Nothobranchius furzeri: one gene and its partner. The protein of the gene in region 1 interacts with the protein of each later gene in a biochemical or structural test. Links are inferred from orthologs where the notes say so. Each region holds a gene or a part of one and is shown on either strand. Other genes may lie near its edges.

Region 1 (4,568 bases):
GGCATGGCTGTAGGTGAAGATCCATCCGGTACCAACAACCACTAACAGAACAGCTCATTTCCTTAATTTCTATTTTTATCCCTGTATTTATTCACTTTATTACCACGTTATTTGTTCTATAATGTGAGATTTTGAATTCTTCAAGAGCAAAACCAAATACATTTGGACAAAAACCAATTTTCTTGCTTTCTTAGCTTAAAACTTGACTTTTTGTTAAAGAGACAATGTGTAGTTTTTACCGTTAATCTCTGGAAATATCCATCGAAATTATGTTGAAAATGAATGAAATGATGCCCAGTTGTTGAAAAATATTGGCGGCTTCATGAGAAGAAGAAGAAGAAGAAGAAGAAGAAAATATAATTTCTATATAGAATAACATATAACTATAAAAATTGCGTCTAAAATACATGGGAGCAGGTCTAAGGGCGTTCCTCAGTGTCAAGGCATCTGGCCTAATAAGGCAATGTCTTGGTAGGCCAGACGCCTTGCCTATGAGGACACTGTCCTTCCTTGATCAAAGAAATCGGTTTAATGGAACAAACTTACCTCACGGGACACGTGAGATTAAGTTATATTTTATGTATAACGAGCCTTTTACTTTTTAAAGGGGCATTATGAAAGTTTGACAGCCAAAACATGTATAGAAATAATAAATGTCTTCTTCATACATTCTCCTGCAATGCCCTGGTCCTGTAGAATGAGCCCTGGCATTTTTACTGTGATTGCCTATTTTTCTGTAAAATCACAGAAAAAGAGAGATGCTCGGGTCGAGCAGGCTGCTTCATGCGCGTTCACGCTCAGGCATCGCCCGGAGCATTTGCCATTCGTAGCTTTAGCAGCAGAGAGAGAGGCAGTGCCACTTTGTCGCTCTTCCTAACGCCTAGTGACAAAGCTAGCTACATTTCTGAGGACCCTTAGCTACTTTCTGTAGAACTTTCTTCTAGATATTTCCTGCAAATTAGCAACAAAATAGCCATTTTCGCTCCGAACTGTTCTTTGAACGTTGTTTCAGCTGTCATCAAGGGTATAAATATTACAGATACAAAGGATGTCACTGGCGCTTTAGCTCACCCAGTAAGACGTTGGGCTCTCGAGCAGAAGATTTGATTCTGGGTGTGAACATCGTTTATTTAGAGTTTCTTTTTTACATTAATAATATATTTTTTTACAGTAAGATGCCCAAATTTTTATTTGAGACTCGCCGAACGGCATTGAATTCACAGATAAAAAAGATGTGGGTTCAACTTTCATTTTGAAACCATTTTTCAAGCAAGGGAAGGGAATGATCTGAGCATGCAGGAGGACTGACCCATCATAAACCTTTGTCGGCTGTGCTGAAGAGAAAGGTACAGAACCAAATTATTTAATTAATTAGCTGCGTGTTCTCCTGTCCTCTGTCCTCCGGGCCGCACACACACACACACACACACACACACACACACACACACACACAGAACTGTCTCAGCTGTTATTTTCATTAAGGAGTGTGCACGTACAGCATGCGCACCTCGTGCACGAGCCTACTATTGAAGCTGCCGTTACGCTTTTGGCCTGAGGGGGCAATCACGAGCATAAAAATTTAAAATTCCGTAAAGTCCCTTTAAATTGTGTATATACTGGTTAAATTAAATAGATAAGTGAGTTACTACCCACTAGCCACCGAAGCTGAAACTACTAAGCAACCATAGATAACTGCACTGGATCTAAAAAAATATATACATTTAGACATGATATCAGCCCGATAGCTATAATTAGTTGACTTACATTCGAACAGAACATTTGCCCCCAAAGTAGCTCCAGGCTCCTGATCCGCCATCCTTTTGAAAATAGCACACTATATTCTGGGAAATTTTACACTAAGGTGAGGCTACAAGACACCTCCCGTGAATCCTTGCTCAGCTAGCTAAACGGCTAACAAACAGAGAACCCACGCCTCTGTAGCACATTGAAAAAAACTCTGAATTTCCACTTTTATCCATCAGCTATTCTCACCTGGGTCTGCTTGATCATTTCCACCTGGCAACCATGATACCATCTTCCTGCAGCCATAGTTTAAGGGCTGGCTCATTGCAAAAACTCACTAGCAAGACTCGATAATATCAAGTCGAGTAAAATCAAATCATGTCATGTCAAGTCAGAACAAGTCATGTCGTGTCAAGTTGGGCCAGATCAAGTCATGTCATGTAGAGTCAAATCAATTCATGTCATGTCATATCATGTCATGTCAAGTCAAGTCAGATCCAGTCATGTCATCTCAAGTCAGATCATGCCATGTCATCTCAATTCAAGACAGATCAAGTCCTTTCAAGTCAGATCAAGTCATGTCATGCCAAACCACGTCAAGTCAAGTAAAATCAAATCATGTCATGTCAACTGAGAGCAAGTCATGTCGTGTCAAGTTGAGCCAGATCAAGTCATGTCATGTCAAGTCAAATCAATTCATGTCATGCCATATCATGTCAATTAAAGTCAAGTCAAATCCAGTCGATGCATGTCATGTCATGCATGTCATAAGCTCAGTCCACTGTGTCAGACCAAGTCAAGATGAGTCAGCATCTTCTTATAAATCCTGGAACTTTCAAAGCTTCACATACACTTCTGTTATTTACATTATCTGAAGTTGGCTGAATCCAAATAATCTGATTGTTAAATTAAAGCAAAAGTGGAAACTGTCACAGAGTTCAAGTCCATCGAAAGCTTGTTTCCTGTATACTCACCTCCCATTCAGACATTGTTAAAAACACATAAATTCTGCTGTTGCAAGTGGGGCTGTCCTCTCTTCTCAGAAGTTGCACTTCTTACTAAATGTCTCCTTCTGTTTCAGTTAGCTTAGGTTGTAAGGAAAAGCAATAAAAGGCACTCCTCTGTCTTTGGACGCAAAGTTCACAATTTGACCTTTGACAGAAGAAGAAGAAGAAGAAGAAGAAGAAGAAGAAGAAGAAGAAGAAGAAGAAGAAGAAGAAGAAGAAGAAGAAGAAGAAGAAGAAGAAGAAGAAGAAGAAGAAGAAGAAGAAGAAGAAGAAGAAGAAGAAGAAGAAGAAATCATTTCTATAGCGCCTCTCAAGATAAAAGTCACGAGGCGCTCCACAAAAACAAAAAATGTAAAATATAAAAAAGAATTTAGAAAATGATTAAAATATATTTAAAATGAGCAAAAAATAGACAATTGTGATTAAAAAATGTAAAGAGAGAGAGAGAGTGAATAGGAAAGAGGGAAATCAGTGGATCCTGAGGAAGGTGGAATAGGTGGGGAGAGCAGAATAAAGAGAGAGTGGTGAAGAAGGTCATACAAAAGCCAGCTTGAACAAGTGAGTCTTCAGCTGCTTTTTAAAGGAGACCACTGAGTCCACTGATCTCAGGCTCAGGGGGAGAGAGTTCCAGAGTCTCGGGGCCACAGCAGCAAATGATCTGTCACCTTTGGTCTTTAGCCTGGTGCTGCACAACCAGTAGGCTTTGATCACTGGACCTCAGGGACCTGCTGGGGGTGTAGGGACTAAGAAAGGGGTGTCCAATCCTGGTCCTGGAGGGCCGGTAACCAGCAGGTTTTGTGGTTTTTCTGCTTCAACATGCTTGATTAGCTGGTTGAATCACCTGTGCAGCAGCTCATCAGGCTCTGCAGAAGTCTGTTAATCACCTGCTGATTAAAATCAGGTGTGTTGAAACAGGTTAAAACGAAAACATGCTGGATACCGGCCCTCGAGGACCAGGATTGGACACCCCTGGACTAAGAAGATCACCAATGTAAGATGGTGCTTGTCCATGTAAGGCCCTATAGACCAGAACCAGGATCTTGAAATGAACCCTGAAGTTGCCTGGCAGCCAGTGAAGCTGGAGGAGAAGCGGGGTGATGTGGGTGTGTTTGGAGGACTTGGTCAGAAGCCGAGCACAGGTGTTCTGAACCACCTGTAGACGGTTCAGGGAGGTTCTGCTCAGACACGTGAAAAGAGAGTTACAGTAGTCTAAGCGTGAGGAGATGAAGGTGTGGAGAACTGTCTCAAGTTCAGAGCGGGACAGAATGGGACTCAGCTTTACAATGTTCCTGAGATGGAAGAAGGAGGAGCGAACAAGAGAACTGACATGAGAATCCAGGGTGAGAGCTGGGTCAAAGGTCACGCCAAGATTCCTGACAGAGGGTTTGGCGTGAGAAGCAAGCTGACCAAGAGAGTCTCTGACTTTGGGAACCAGCTTGTAAAAACAAAGCTTAGAAAAAAAACAGCAACAGCCTTATTCCTTTATTTCTAACAATAACCAACCCCTGAAATTATATTGAAAACTTGAGATGTAATAGATTTGTAAATCATATCAGCAATGTTAAAAAAAGAGTTTAAAACATGCTTTTCAATCTTCAGTGCACCAGAGACCCAAATGATTCTCTGCAGTGTGAAAATTTTTACACCAGAGCAGATTGTGGAGTCTGATACATCTCATCACTCCTCCAAACTCCCACCACCGTCTAGCAGAACTGCTGGCTAATCTCTATCAGGGACACGACAGCCGGGATATTTCTCACACCATGTTGCATCGAGCAAGAAAAGGCTAACACAACGTTAATCGTGTTGCCCTTTTTA
Region 2 (2,549 bases), on another chromosome or scaffold:
GACGAGCAAACTGTTCAACACCAAATAAACTGCGTGGGAACTCAAATGGTTCCCTAAAAGCTAAGTGGAACAACAGAAAATGTGTGTTTTAGCATGCTAATGTGCTACAATAACTCAGAGATATCCTAGTACAGAGTAAATAAATCAGTTTTAGCGAGCCCCAAACACCAAACAGCTACACGTAGTGCACTGGAAACAGGAAACGCCTTACTGCCAGGGAGATGCAGCAGCATTCAACACTCATAGGTTAGAAGACGTTCAAATTATTTCATGTTTGGCCTATTTGTTGTCAACTGAAATTATAAATAAAGATTTCAATATTTCAATCAGAATATTTTATTTTATTTACTGTACAGCCTATACAAAACACACTTTATAAAAGAAAAAACACAGAACATGTTGAGGTTTTAAATAAACATAACAAAACACATTTCTTTCCTCTCAAACACAAATTACACAACAAATTATTGAATCTGATTCTGTCAAGTCTACAAATTTACAAGGTTTTTGTGTTTATATCAAGCCCCCACAATGCGGCTCAAAAATTGAGTCAAACCCGGAAGTACCAAAAATTGCAGTTCCACCCTCATCCACTAGGGGCTGGTGTCAGAAGCGAGCAAATCCTCATTGACTCCCATGTTAAAAATACCAATTTCACAGCAGAAATAAACATGTTTACAGCCTGGTACCAAAACATGTTTTTGGTTTAAATGATCTAGTTTACACTCATGACAACTCTGAGGGGGGTGAATTTTTTCTCACTCTTCTGTTTAAGTGTATTAAAAGCCTAAAATTCTGTATAATTAATGAGCATCAGACCCACGTGACCACAGAGCTAGCTCCGTGGAAAGGCCTCAGTAGAGCCTCGGTCTGGCCTGGAAACTGCTCCGGGATTTTTGAGTCTGTGTGTGTGTATTCTTTTTTGGATATTTTTTGTGCAATTGTTGGACAAAATGACTTGCTGTGGCATTAATTGCACTAATAGAGCGTCCAAGGAGTCTCCACTTCATTTTTTTCGATAAGTAAAATTATATTTATGTATTTTAGGTCACTGCCGAGCGGAGCTTAGATTTTAACATGTACTGTTTAACCATGAAATGTAAATGTAATAGGGTAAACCCAGTGCATTTAACATAATGCTGCACTTTAGAAAATGGGTTGAAAAATAACATGTTGGTGGAGCTGGGTTCCCACTATCGCCTTGTGGAGCTCTCGAGAGACCGATGTTTTCCACCCCTCCCCGCAGCCCGGCGCATCTCTGTCTGATCGCGGCTTCTGTCTGCTGTGCGGCTGCCGGCTTTCAGCAGCTTTCGGGAGACCTCTGTGTTCCTCCCGGTTTTACCCAGCGGTCAGCCCGGCGTATCTCTGACTCAGAAGCTCTGGTGTTGTGCACAGTTAACTCCAGTTGTAGCTAGGTTGCTACCTCCGTTAGCTTAGCTCCCACCTCCGCGTTAGCTTTGGGTTAGCTTCAGGTTAGCTTGTAGCTAGTTCGACTGGGTGTCGTCAGTTGATCCCAGCCTAGCCACACCCTTAGCTCCACCTCTCTTCCCTTTTATGGAATTGTCTGGGCTTGACGGAATCTGTGACACGGTCAAAATGGCGGTGGTGGCCACCTCCCATTTCTCCTCCAAAACGTGTTATTGGAGCCTATGGAAATGAACTGTCCAATATATATGTCGATGGTTTATATGCACAACGTTCCATATTATATAATCTGTTTTTGAATGGATCGTTTTACCACCAACTGGAAGTAACTCCTCCCAAAAGCACACCTAAGACGAGCTTTCATGCTTCCTATTGTTAAAAATACAAGAGTAAACAAAGTCTTACAGTTTGGAAACATTAAAGTCTCCGTTGTTGGTATAGTGTTACTAAATAAAGTCTATTATACAAACACTTTGATGCTTCCTTGTCCAGTAATTAGTACCCAGTTTGGTCCCTCTCAAGCTTTAGAAAGTGCATCAGGATTTCCTCCTCCAGCCGGAGTCGAGACTCGTTCCATCACTCTCCAATGCAAATCCATCTTCACTGTGTCAGCATGTAAGCTGCCATCTTACAGGCCACAGCCGAGATGAGAGCTGCTCCCCGTCCGCTGCCCTCCTCCGATTGGAGGAAGGTGATGTCACAGTGGGGGGTGAGCTCCCGGACCACTTTGTGGAAACGGTCGCAGAAACTTAAACACAGAGACAACCGGTTCGTCAGTCACAGAAGAGTCTCGCTTCCGTCCACTCTAATAAATCCTCTCACTGATACTCACTATGGGTGCAGCTTGTAGACAGATCCGTCAACCCCTACTGTGATCTTCAGGGTGTCCTGGCGGCGCTGCTCTCGCATCTGGTTGATGATACCAGCGAGCCCAGCGCCGCACATATGAGCTGAGCGGGTAGAAATGTTCTCACAGACCAGCTGAACGATGTCACAGTCCAGCTCAGAGGGGAGAAGACCCAACGAGGAGAGGATGTTGTAGATTTGTTTTCTGTCACCAGAATCACTGAAAAGAAAAAGGCCACAAGTTGAATCTGCATGAGTAAATAATGTAAACAATGTGA

The links.
Region 2: the proteins of gckr (region 1) and gck form a complex in vitro, tested with the Homo sapiens proteins (2 studies listed by BioGRID and IntAct, with this or other methods). The link is inferred for Nothobranchius furzeri from reciprocal best matches to the Homo sapiens genes GCKR and GCK.

Annotation. Positions count from the first base shown.
Region 1 is NC_091754.1:55,298,158-55,302,725, forward strand, and holds the start of gckr (glucokinase regulatory protein), read right to left. Parts: upstream 3,020-4,568; 5' UTR 2,733-3,019; coding exon 2,718-2,732; intron 1-2,717. UniProt on the Homo sapiens protein: Regulates glucokinase (GCK) by forming an inactive complex with this enzyme. Acts by promoting GCK recruitment to the nucleus, possibly to provide a reserve of GCK that can be quickly released in the cytoplasm after a meal.
Region 2 is NC_091757.1:56,106,963-56,109,511, reverse strand, and holds the end of gck (hexokinase-4), read right to left. Parts: intron 2,492-2,549; coding exon 2,258-2,491; intron 2,174-2,257; coding exon 2,026-2,173; 3' UTR 321-2,025; downstream 1-320. UniProt on the Homo sapiens protein: Catalyzes the phosphorylation of hexose, such as D-glucose, D-fructose and D-mannose, to hexose 6-phosphate (D-glucose 6-phosphate, D-fructose 6-phosphate and D-mannose 6-phosphate, respectively).